Callithrix jacchus: one gene and its partners. The protein of the gene in region 1 interacts with the protein of each later gene in a biochemical or structural test. Links are inferred from orthologs where the notes say so. Each region holds a gene or a part of one and is shown on either strand. Other genes may lie near its edges.

Region 1 (3,642 bases):
CCACACTCCAGGGGTGTGGGAGGGACAGTGGACCCGCTGCAGGGCCAGGGCCTGGGGCTCAGGGATGGAAGCAGAGGGTGCATCCCTGACACTCTGGGGTGTGGGAGGGACAGTGGACCTGCTGCAGGGCCAGGACCTGGGGCTCAGGGAGCAGAGCAGAGGGCACATCCCCAACCCTCACGGCCCCTCCCACCCATGGCAGGACATCTTGCCGTGCGTGCCCTTCAGCATGGCCAAGAGTGTGAAGTCTTTGTACCTGGGCCGCATGTTCAGCGGGACCCCCGTGATCCGACTGCGCTACAGGAGGCTGCAGCCCACCAGGTGAGGAGCGTCCACAGAAGGCAGCGCAGCTGAGACATAACGGCCGGGATGCCAGCTTCATAGGGCCTAGGCAGGAGCTAGGTCAGCAGGGAGGGGCCAGCGTCTGCCCGCGCCCAGCGCTGACCTGTTTCTTCCATGGGCGCCCAGGCTCGTAGCTGAGTTTGACTTCCGGACCTTTGACCCCGAGGGCGTTCTCCTCTTTGCCGGTGGCCACCAGGATGGCACCTGGATCATGCTGGCCCTCCGAGCTGGCCGGCTGGAGCTGCAGCTGCGTTACAATGGTGTGGGCCGAATCACCAGCAGCGGCCCGGTCATCAACCATGGCACGTGGCAGACGGTGAGTGTGAGGCAGCCGCCCTTCCCGACCCCTGGGGCCCCTGGCACGCACTCACTTGTGCACCCATTACAAGATGGGCTCTGGGGCCTGACCGGCTGCATGCGGCAGGACAGGGACCCCTGCCCCGTTTAGCTCATGCTTGGGGGGCTCTGCTATTTCACCCCTGCCCCGTTTAGTTCACACCCGAGGGCTCACTGTGGAGCTCGGGGTCTCTGCTGTTTCACCCCCATCCTGTTTAGTTCATGCTCTGGGGCTCACTGGAACTTGGGGCCCTCTCTGCTATTTCATCACATATCTGAGCCTGGCTCCCTCAGAAATGGACCTTAAGTGCAACCTGTGAGTTTGGTCTCCCTGAGTTCAGGTCACTCTTGGCTCAGGTGAAGAACCTGTGGTTCTCAGCCCTGGGGGCCCCTGGGCTGTGTCTGGAGGCCATGCTGTTTATCCTGAGTTGGGGTGGGGAACAGGCCAGGGCTGCTGATACTACATTCAGGGGCCTCGCCAGGGAGGAAGCCGCCCAGAACCTGCACCCCAGGCCCGGGCTCCTGCTGCATGCGGCCCCCTGGCCGTGGCCACCTCTCCATGTAGGGCCACGTGGACGCCACTGCCTCTGAGCTCTGGCTCCCGGGGCCTGCCGGTCTGTGCGGCCATTCCCATCAGGGGTCCAGGCAACCTCATGGGGGCTGCCCCTTGCCAGAGACGTCATGACCACCTGGACCCCAGACCCATGGGCAACTGAGGGGTCCCCATCAGACCTGTCCTTGGGCAGCTGTGGGCAGCAGACAACATGCCTGCACCACAGCCCCCTCCGTGGAGTGAGAGGGTCTGTAGCCAGCTCCTGGCTGGGCCCCTCACCACACTGGGCTTTCAGAAAGGTGGAAAAGCAGGCTGTGTCCTTCAGAATGAAGACGAAGTGGAAAACTTCACCCTGGCCCTTGCAGATGAAAACTGTAGACTTTTGCCCATGTTTCCATTCTGCAAAGTAAATGCCTACTCCATTTCACCTCTTTTTTTTTTTTTTTTTTGAGACCGAGTTTCGCTTTTGTTACCCAGGCTGGAGTGCAATGGCGCAGTCTCGGCTCACCGCAACCTCCGCCTCCTGGGTTCAGGCAATTCTCCTGCCTCAGCCTCCTGAGTAGCTGGGATTACAGGCACGCGCCACCGTGCCCAGCTAATTTTTTGTAATTTTTAGTAGAGACGGGGTTTCACCATGTTGATCAGGATGGTCTCGATCTGTTGACCTCGTGATCCACCCGCCTCGGCCTCCCAAAGTGCTGGGATTACAGGCTTGAGCCACCGCGCCCGGCCCATTTCACCTCTTAAAGGAGCAGCGTCTCCAAGAGCAGGAGGTTGTTCTTAGCAAAGCTATAGAAAGCAAACTAAGGGGAAGCAGTTTCAGGGATGGAGCTGTGGGGATGAGGGTCCAGGGCAGGTGGCCCGAGGCAAGGTCGCTGGGGGACTGTAGTGCGACCCAGTCCTGCCCCGTGACTCACAGCGGCCGCTGCATCGCACCGAAACAGGCCCTTCCTAGCAGGGGCACCTGGTGAGGACCCCTCCCCAATTCCACCCTCTGGCTGGTCCCCAAAGGCAGCTGACTCAAACTTCTACCATGTTTTTGTGACTCAGTTGAAACCCAAATACCTGAAAGGTGTTTTCACACAGGAAGAAGGATGTTCTTCTGAAGCTTGGGAATAGGGTGTATCTAGTGTTCGACGCTACAGGCTTTCTATGAGGAATCAATTTGGTGCATTGAGAAACCTCCTGGCCCAGGCAGTGATGAACAGGGACTCCCTTGATGTTGAGTGGCTCTTGGCTCAGGTGGGGATGAGTGTGGTCTCCCTGAGGTCAGGACCCTCTTAGCTCAGGTGAGGATGAGCGTGGTCTCCCTGAGATCGGGACCCTCTTGACTCAGGTGAGGATGAGCATGATCTCCCTTAGGTTGTGTCCTTGGTCTCAGGTGTTCCAGCAGAGGTCGGGTCCCTCTTGACCTCCGATATGATGAGCCTGGTCTCCTTGAGGTCTGTCCTTGTTGGCTCAGGTGAGAATCAGGTGGTCTCCCTGAGGTCGGGACCCTCCTGGCTCAGGTGAGGATCAGGTGGTCTCCCTGAGGTTGGGACCCTCTTGGCTCAGGGGAAGATAAGTATGGTTTTTCTGCAGTTGGGGCCCCCTCAGAACATGCACTCCCACCTTCTCTCACGGCGCTGCCTCTCTTCAGATCTCTGTTGAGGAGCTGGCTCGGAGTCTGGTCATCAAGGTCAACAGGGATGCTGTCATGAAAATCGCGGTGGCCGGGGACCTGTTCCAGCCGGAGCGAGGAATGTTCCATCTGAACCTCACCGTGGGGGGGATCCCCTTCCATGAGGAGGACCTGGTGCAGCCTGTGAGTGCAGTCCTGTCCCTGGGTAGGGGCACCCTGTGCTGGGAGCCGGGTGGCTGTCAGGAAGGCTGGGTCAGCTCAGCCCTGCCCTGTGTTTACCACTGGCCAGGTGTGGGGAGGACCTAGAAGAAGGAAAGGTTTTGAGAGTTTGACCAAGTCAAGGTATGGCCATGTGGTTAATTTTACCATCTTTTTATGAGGCCTGACTAAGTTTCCATCTGACTTGATAATAAAGTTGTCTATTTTTCAGTGGAGACAAGACACAAAGAAATTATTCTTTAACAGAACAATAAACTTTTTTGGATGATTTCCAAGGACATTTTGGGTTTTGTAACCCTGATGTGAGTCTCACAGGGGAAAAGTAGCCGTGGTGGGGCGGGCAGTGAGGGCCATCTCTCCAGGCCCCGCCTTCCCTCCCCCAGCACAGCACATGCCGGGCCCCGATCTGCATCTCCAGCCCCCGTGCGCTGACGTCTAGGCCAGTATCCTGGGTATTTTCACTCCCACACCAGATAGGAGAAAGGCTCGCACATCTTTGCGTCTGTGGGTGCTGCATGTCCGAAGTGCCTGTGCTGAGACCCACCGCTTCGGTGGTGTGAGGGGCACCCTG
Region 2 (3,642 bases), on another chromosome or scaffold:
AAATACAGAATTAGCCAGGTATGATGGCACACACCTTTAATGCCAGCTACTCAGGAGGCTGAGGCAGGAGAATTGCTTGAACCCAGGAGGCGGAGGTTGCAGTAAGCTGAGATCATACCAGTACACTCCAGCCTGGGCTACAGAGCAAGGCTCTGTCTCAAAAAAAAAAGAAAGAATGAAAGAAAGAAAGAAAGAAAAAGAAATTTTTTTGTGTGTGTGTTTTATTTGAGATGTGGGGTCTTGCTCAGTCACCCAGACTGGGGTGTAGTTGTGTGAGCTCAGCTCACTGCAACCTCCACCTCCAGGCCCAAGTGATCCTCCAATCTCAGCCTGTTGAGTAGCTGGGACTACAGGTGTATGCCACCACGCACAGTTAATTTTTGTAATTTTTTGTAGAGACAGGGATTCGCCATATTGCCCAGGCTGGTCTTGAACTCCTGGACTCCAGTGGTCCACCGGCCTCAGCCTCCCAAAATGCTGGGATTACAGGTGTAAGCCACTGTGTCTGGCAAAACAATATTTTAATTTTTATTTTTTTCAGAGTCTTGTTCTGTCACCCAGGCTAGACTGCAGTGGCATGATCTTGGCTCACTGCAAACTTCATCTCCTAGGTTCAAGCGATTCTCCTGCCACTGCCTCCCAAGTAGCTGGGAGTACAGGTGTACACCACCACGCCTGGCTAATTTTTGTATTTTTAGTAGAGATGGAGTTTCACCATGTTAGCCAGGCTGGTCTTGAACTTCTGAGTTCATGATCCACCTGCCTCGGCCTCCCAAAGTGCTGGGATTACAGGTGTGAGCCACTGTGCCTGGCAAAAGAAACATTTTTAACAACTGGTACAAGCAGGGCTCTGACCCATCAGGGAGCCCACTGGAGCAAGAGTGTGACCAGGCTTTAACCCTTTAGTTCCCTCTGAGGGAAGGCTCAGGGGGTCCAGAGGAGGAGCTAGGGTGGAAGTGGCAGGGTGCTCAGGGCAGTAGCTAATTTTGAATCGATGCGGCAGTATGTCAGTGTTTCAACAATGGGTCTATCCCTACTGGTGGGTGAATGTCACCTGAATGTCAGCCCTGCCCCATGGCTTTGTCCACCCCAAACTTGCATGCAGTGAACAGCCTGGGCATCAGTGAAGAGCTGAAGGAGAAGCTGCGGGATGTGATGGTGGATCGGCACAAGGTGGCCCTGGGGAAGACTCTGGGAGAAGGTGAGTCCCCCCAGCAGCATAAACACATCCTTCTGAACTTCTGAGATCCTGCACTTCCACGCCCCCACCCAACTCTAGGAAAAACAGTCCCCCCAGGCCCTCTGAGGTCAGTGTCTCTCTCTGGCCCTTCACAGGAGAGTTTGGAGCCGTGATGGAAGGCCAGCTCAACCAGGACGACTCCGTCCTCAAGGTGGCTGTGAAGACGATGAAGAGTGAGTCATGTGCACATGTGTGGGGCCCCCTGCCCCTTCCCTATGCCCCTGAGAAGGAAGAAAGCAGAAAAGGTAACAGCAAGTTAGCCATTGCCTAGAATTTTTGAGTGGGGAATTCAAGACCAGCCTGGCCAACATGGTAAAACCCCATCTCTACTAAAAATACAAATATTAGCCAGGCGTGATGGTGCATGCCTGTAATCCCAGCCACTCAGGAGACTGAGGCACGAGAACCTCTTGAATCGGGGAGGCGGAGGTTGCAGAGAGCTGAGATTGTGCCATTGCACTCCAGCCTGGAGGACAAGTGCAAAACTCCATCTCAAAAAAAAAAAAAAAATGATATGGATGGTGGTGTGTGCCTGTGGTCCCAGCTACTCAGGAACCCAAGCCTAGGAGTTTGAGCCTGCAGTGAGCTGTGATCGCTCTGATTGCATCCAGCCTGGGTGATGGAGCAAGACCCTGTCTCAAAAAAAGCAACCAATAAAATAAAATGGGAACCGTAACAGTAGCACCTAAGAAGATTAAATGAGTTAATATACGTAAAGTACTGAGTTTGGCACCTAGTACTTACTAATCATGTTTGATGAAGATGAGTGATGACGATGGTGATGGAGAGGAGGTGGAGGGAGGAACTCCTCCCCTCCTCAACCACCTTTCTCTCTCCCTCTAGTTGCTATCTGCACGAGGTCAGAGCTGGAGGATTTCCTGAGTGAAGCCGTCTGTATGAAGGAATTCGACCATCCCAACGTCATGAGGCTCATCGGTGAGGGGGGGCAGATTCAAGGGTCTACAGGCCCCATGGGGGCCATAGCAGAGGGAAGACTCCTTCCTCTGGCCCTGGGAAGATCAGACTCCATGCTTCCTGCTCCCGGCGCCTTCAGGGTCAGCAAACTCGCCCCTCCTACTTTCCCTCAGCTTGGAATGTGACCTCTGACCATTCCCAGAAATAGCTGAGGTCCCCAGGAGGGCTCTGGAAACATCCCTGGGAACTCTGTTGGAAATGGCGTCTCTGCAGCTCGGTCCTTGCTGCCCCCATTACTCTCTAAACAATATGGCAGCCAGATTGGATGGGAGTGAGGAGAGGCTGAAGTCTGGCTGGGAGGGGGCTTGGCTTCACCTTCTGCCCAGCAGGAGTAACAGGGCTGCCTGGGGTGGGGCTCAGGCGTCTGTTTCCAGGGTTCTGAACGAGAGAGCTTTCCGGCACCTGTGGTCATCTTACCTTTCATGAAACATGGAGACCTACACAGTTTCCTCCTCTATTCCCGGCTTGGGGACCAGCCAGTGGTGAGGGGCATTTAATATCCAGTCTATAAATATTAACTGAGCATCAGTCAGGTACCCAGTGCTGCTCAGACCCTGGGAAGACCATGGTGACCAGGAGCCTGCTCTCCTGCAGCGTGTCTTCCAGCAGGTCAGGTGAACAGCAAACAAGCTAATAAATACCTAAGCAAGATGACTTAAATGCTAGGAAGGAAATACAGTAGGGTGGATGAGGAGGCCAGGCAGTCAGTTTGGGTGGATGTCTAAGATCTTGCCGCGGAGGTGACCTTGAAGGACTTGGGGCTGGGGAGATGTCTGGCCATCTGGGCAGGAAGCAATCCCAATAAAATGCACAACATAGGCAAAGGCTCGGAGGTGGGAACAATGGTGGTTTATCTGAAGACCAGACGGGAGTCTGGTGGGAGCGTCTGTCAAGGGCAAGAATATAGGCGATCAAGTCAAACAGGAAGGCTGGAGCAAGTTTATAGGACCTTTCAGGCCATGGGACGGGGTTGGGTGGAATTGTCAGAGCCACGGGAAACCACTGCAGGCAGAGATAGGCATGCCCAGAGGGACAGAGGGGGGAGGGATCAGCGTCAAGGACCCTACTGACCTCTATTGACCCTCCTCCCACCTGCCTTCCCCCTCAGTACCTGCCCACTCAGATGCTGGTGAAGTTCATGGCAGACATCGCCAGTGGCATGGAGTATCTGAGTACCAAGAGATTCATACACCGGGACCTGGCGGCCAGGAATTGCATGTGAGTGCCTTTCAGGGACACCCCCGATGCTCCCACACTCCCTGAGGGAGCTCCCTCCCTCATTCTTAGAATGGAAGTGGGGCTAGACACCCGCTGAAGGCAGGCCAGAACTTAGGACCAGGAAAGTCAGTAAGGGGATCTGGGAAGGCTTCCTGGAGGAGGTGGGTCCTGAACTGAGGTCTGGGAGGAGTATTCGGGTGCAGAGAGAG
Region 3 (4,251 bases), on another chromosome or scaffold:
AAGAAAAAAAAAAGGAAAAGAAAAGACAGAGACATCTGGCCCCTGCCATCCATGTCTTGATAGTGCCTCCTGAGTCTCTCCTCTTGCTGCCGCTTGGGGGCGCCCCCAGCTGGGTCTCAGGCTGCTGCCAGCCTTGCGGTTGTTATCATTAGCGTAATTAACAAACAAGCACTGCTGGGGCCAAGTGGAAGAAGAGGCAGGCCCCTGCTGCTCAGGAGAATCCCTGAAAAGATCCAGTGAGCCTGCGGCAACCGGGACTAAGTGGCTGGTCCCTCCTCTCCACCCAGGACATCTGGAGGGGGTGTGGAGTGGGTTCTAGGGGGCAGGCAGAGAGGGAAGGGCAAGGGGAGGAGCACACTTGGTAGGCTTGGTTTGGAACCGGATTTGCAGGTGCCCAACAGGATGTCTGTGGGCAAGGCCACCCCCATGATTACTGGTTGTGGGGCAGGCTCTGAGGCAATTATTCATTCATTTAACAGGCATCTGCCTATTTATTTATGGAGTGCCTACGATGCGCAAGGTGGTCTACTCATAATAGCTAATGTTTAATTGAACAATGTGACGACACAGCCAACTTTCACAGCAGGTCCTGGGAAAAGGGGTAGAAGCAAGGGAAGCAACTAGGAAAAATGACAGCCCAAAAAGATAAGGGCAATTGGGCTTTGGCCTGTGCAGTGTAGCGGTGGAGATATGTATTAGGTAAAACCTGGGGATTACCAAGATCTTGGGAAACTCAAGATCCAAGTTGGAAAACATACGGCAAGTGGGGCTGGAGAAAATGGGCATTTTCAGGTAGGAGGGACTTGGAGATAAAGGCAGGGCAATAGAACATGAATATGGGAATTTTGGGTGAACGGCTCAATGAAAGTGAGGGACGAAGGGATGCTAGCAGATTCTGTTGGAGGAGCCCTGGGTCACGGCAGTTTCAGGGGGCCTGATAGATGGGAGTCTAGGGGGTGCTGGATTCTGGGATCACAGTCCGAACAAAAGTTGGGGTGTGGTGGGGGCTACCATCGGGGTTTTGAGGGAAGGCTCGGGAGCGCTAGGATGGAAAAGATGCTGGAGCGCTTTTAGGGAAAGGAGGGGCGTGGCCGGGGAGCCCCATCCTGGGGGCCGAGCCGGATCCTCGGGTTCGGCCTGGGGGCTGCCGGGGCCGGGGTGTCGGCGGGGCTGCGGGGGTCCGCGGCGCTGGCCGGGGTCCGGGCTCGGAGCGAGCCTCCGGGGCTCCGCGGGGGGGCGGTGCGAGCTCGGGCTGCGGGCGGGCTGGGAGGAGGCGGCGGCTCCGAGAAGAACATGAATCAGCGGCGGCGACGGCGGCGACGGCAGTGGAAGGATCGCGGTGGCCCGGGAGCGGCCCCGGGGACCCAGCGCTGCTGACGGCGGCGATCGCGGCGGGGGGCGGACGCGAGTCTCGGAGGCGCTCTCCCCAGCGCCGCCCCACGGGCGGCCCCAGCCCCTCCCGCAGCCCTCCTCTCTCCTGCTCCCTTCCCACCTCCTCCTCCTCCTCTCCGTCCTCCTCCTCCTCGCTCGCGGACCCGGCCCGGCATGGTGCGGCGTCGTCGCCGATGGCGCTGAGGCGGAGCATGGGGCGGCCGGGGCTCCCTCTGCTGCCGCCGCCGCCGCCACCGCGGCTGGGGCTGCTGCTGACGGCTCTGGCTTCTCTGCTGCTCCCGGAGTCCGCAGCCGCAGGTAGGGGCTGGCCCGAGAGGCGGGGGAAGCGGGGGGCTGCGGAGGGGCGCGGTCGGGGATCGAAGCTTGGGGTGGGCCTGGCGGGCGGGAGTCGGGGTGGGGGTCCGGAGCCGAAGGCCAAGGCTCGGGGCCGGGTCAGGGCACGCTGCGGAGTGCTCGCCGCCGGATCTCCCTGCGGGCCCCCCACCCCCAACTTTCTGGCACTCTGGGCTCTCGCGACGGGGTGGAAGGGAAGGGAGCGGGGTGTGGGCTGTGTGGTCAGCCGGGAGTGTTTGGGACTGCATTTTCCCGCCTGGATGTTCCCAGCTGTTAGATCCCTCCTTCCCAGTTCTGGGGACCCCATTCTGCCTGCCCTGCACGCGAAGGTCCGGCTCTGAAACCACATGGGCCGGGGCTGAGCACCCAAAGGCCACCCTGGTAACATTTAGGAACAGGGGCTGTGAGAGTGCCCAGTCACAAAAAGCAAATGGGCACACTCGAGTTCCTGTGCCTTCTGAGCTTCCTGAAAGCAGAACCTTGGAGAGGATGGGCTGGGGCCAGGTTGCTGGTCTTTGGGAGGGGTTAGCCTTGTGTTCCCACTGAGGCATTTGCTGGTGACAAGGGCGTTCCATGCAGCACGGTGCTCTCCAAGTTCCCACCCCGCACCTCGGTGACTGCTGGGCTTATAGAGAGCGGGAGGCCGGACCTCCTGTCCTGTGACTGGTCCTGAGAGGGTGAAGGGAGCAGGGAAAAGCCACAGGCCCGGACAGCAGCCACCCGGCTGGCATCTTCTCTTGAGACAGCGTTCCCTGCCATATCAGCCTCTCAGGGAAGGGAAGGGAAACGGGTGACGAGTATTTACAAGCAGAAAGGTGTGGACCTGATGCTCAGGGAGCCCACGACTTTGCCTAGAGTCGCACAGCAAAGGACAGGAAGAAGCAGGGCTGGATTTTAGTTATGCAGATATTTGACCTGCCCCTCTCTCTGCTTAAAAACACGCCAGGAAGCCAAGAGAGGTGCCAGTGTGTGTGTGTGTGTGTGTGTGTGTGCCCGCGCGGGCATGCGCGCGCACGTTCCAAAGAGTGGCCCCTGTTGGTGTGGCAGTGGCTCAGGGGTCTTAGGCTCCCTGCTCATAGCCCCAGCCCTCCCTTCTTCCTCCTACCTTCCTAGCACCCGCCCCTGCCCACATTCAGGTATTAATAGAGCGGATGGCTGCCAGGAAGGCTGCCATGTGTTTGATCTGACGTGGTTTTGCAGCCATATGTTCTCCACTTCAGGGGAGCACCCCCTCCTTCCCTTCGTCAGCCCTGCTCCATTTGGTAAGGTTGGGTGCAGAGGGTGCTGGCAGCAATACAGGGTCTGGGCTGACACCTTGGGTGGAGAGCTGGCAGCCTGTTGCACTAGTTGGGTACAGCAACCATTCTTAGGGTGATACCTGCCCCAGTAGGGTAACTCCCCGCCATTTCAGCCCAGCCTGCCTTCCTTTTGCTGTCTGATCTCAGCAGGAGGATATGGGGAAGAGGTCCTTAGAACTGGAGGGAACTTGGAGAGCTTGTCATGCCCCTTCCCCTAGTCCAGGTCCAGCCACCTTCCCTCCCACACTGCCCTACCTCTGCTTCCTTGACTTTGGCTAAGAAAGAGCCCTCTGCCTGACACAGAAGCTATGTTCTGGAAGAGAATGGGAACTGTTTACAGAGACAGAGTTCCTCTCAAGGTGACACATGTTCCTTCCACTCCTCAGGTCTGAAGCTCATGGGAGCCCCAGTGAAGCTGACAGTGTCTCAGGGGCAGCCGGTGAAGCTCAACTGCAGCGTGGAGGGGATGGAGGAGCCTGATATCCAGTGGGTGAAGGATGGGGCTGTGGTCCAGCACTTGGACCAGTTGTACATCCCCGTCAGTGAGCAGCACTGGATCGGCTTCCTCAGGTGCAGGCCTGTGGGGGAAGGTGTGGGCTGCCAGCCAGGGGGCAGGCTGTGCTCTTTCCTTGGGGATTGGGAGCTGGGGACCTCACTTGACGCTTAGAGGTTTGTGGTTTTTTTTATGTGGCTACCTGTGGGACTTTCCAGAAGTGGGGGCAGGCTGAACCCATCAAGTTTGCCTGGCAGAGCTGCCCCCTTGACCCTGAGAAGCAAGCCTGGTATCCTGTTTCCACAGCCTGAAGTCAGTGGAGCGCTCTGATGCTGGCCGTTACTGGTGCCAGGTGGAGGATGGGGGCGAAACCGAGATCTCCCAGCCAGTGTGGCTCACAGTAGAAGGTGAGGAGGCAGAACCATCTGGGCACGTTGGCCTGGAGCACGTGCTGTCTGCTGGTGACCATACCTCTGCAGCAGAGAACTCTGTGGAAGCTGGGTTCCCCCACCGCTCTGTGGGGCCTGATTGTCCAGGCTCTAGGCCCACTCCAGACATCAGAAGACCCTACCAATTGGAGTTGGGTATTTGAGAACCAAGGGGGCAACTGGGATCCACAACTTGTGGGGTGCAGTCTGTTTCCGTTGCTTGAGCAACAAGCTTCAAGTACCCATCTGGGACTGGACCCTGTTCTGCCAAGTGGCCTGGCCAGCTGGGGGAGGGGAGGAAGGCTCT

The links.
Region 2: the proteins of GAS6 (region 1) and AXL form a complex in vitro, tested with the Homo sapiens proteins (2 studies listed by BioGRID and IntAct, with this or other methods). The link is inferred for Callithrix jacchus from reciprocal best matches to the Homo sapiens genes GAS6 and AXL.
Region 3: the proteins of GAS6 (region 1) and TYRO3 form a complex in vitro, tested with the Homo sapiens proteins (2 studies listed by BioGRID). The link is inferred for Callithrix jacchus from reciprocal best matches to the Homo sapiens genes GAS6 and TYRO3.

What each region holds. Positions count from the first base shown.
Region 1 is NC_133502.1:29,244,301-29,247,942, reverse strand, and holds part of GAS6 (growth arrest-specific protein 6), read left to right. Parts: intron 1-202; coding exon 203-321; intron 322-468; coding exon 469-658; intron 659-2,870; coding exon 2,871-3,035; intron 3,036-3,642. UniProt on the Homo sapiens protein: Ligand for tyrosine-protein kinase receptors AXL, TYRO3 and MER whose signaling is implicated in cell growth and survival, cell adhesion and cell migration.
Region 2 is NC_133523.1:36,534,482-36,538,123, forward strand, and holds part of AXL (tyrosine-protein kinase receptor UFO), read left to right. Parts: intron 1-1,105; coding exon 1,106-1,201; intron 1,202-1,335; coding exon 1,336-1,413; intron 1,414-2,083; coding exon 2,084-2,176; intron 2,177-2,575; coding exon 2,576-2,697; intron 2,698-3,323; coding exon 3,324-3,433; intron 3,434-3,642. UniProt on the Homo sapiens protein: Receptor tyrosine kinase that transduces signals from the extracellular matrix into the cytoplasm by binding growth factor GAS6 and which is thus regulating many physiological processes including cell survival, cell proliferation, migration and differentiation.
Region 3 is NC_133509.1:45,047,608-45,051,858, reverse strand, and holds the start of TYRO3 (tyrosine-protein kinase receptor TYRO3), read left to right. Parts: upstream 1-1,324; 5' UTR 1,325-1,565; coding exon 1,566-1,689; intron 1,690-3,409; coding exon 3,410-3,593; intron 3,594-3,822; coding exon 3,823-3,923; intron 3,924-4,251. UniProt on the Homo sapiens protein: Receptor tyrosine kinase that transduces signals from the extracellular matrix into the cytoplasm by binding to several ligands including TULP1 or GAS6. Regulates many physiological processes including cell survival, migration and differentiation.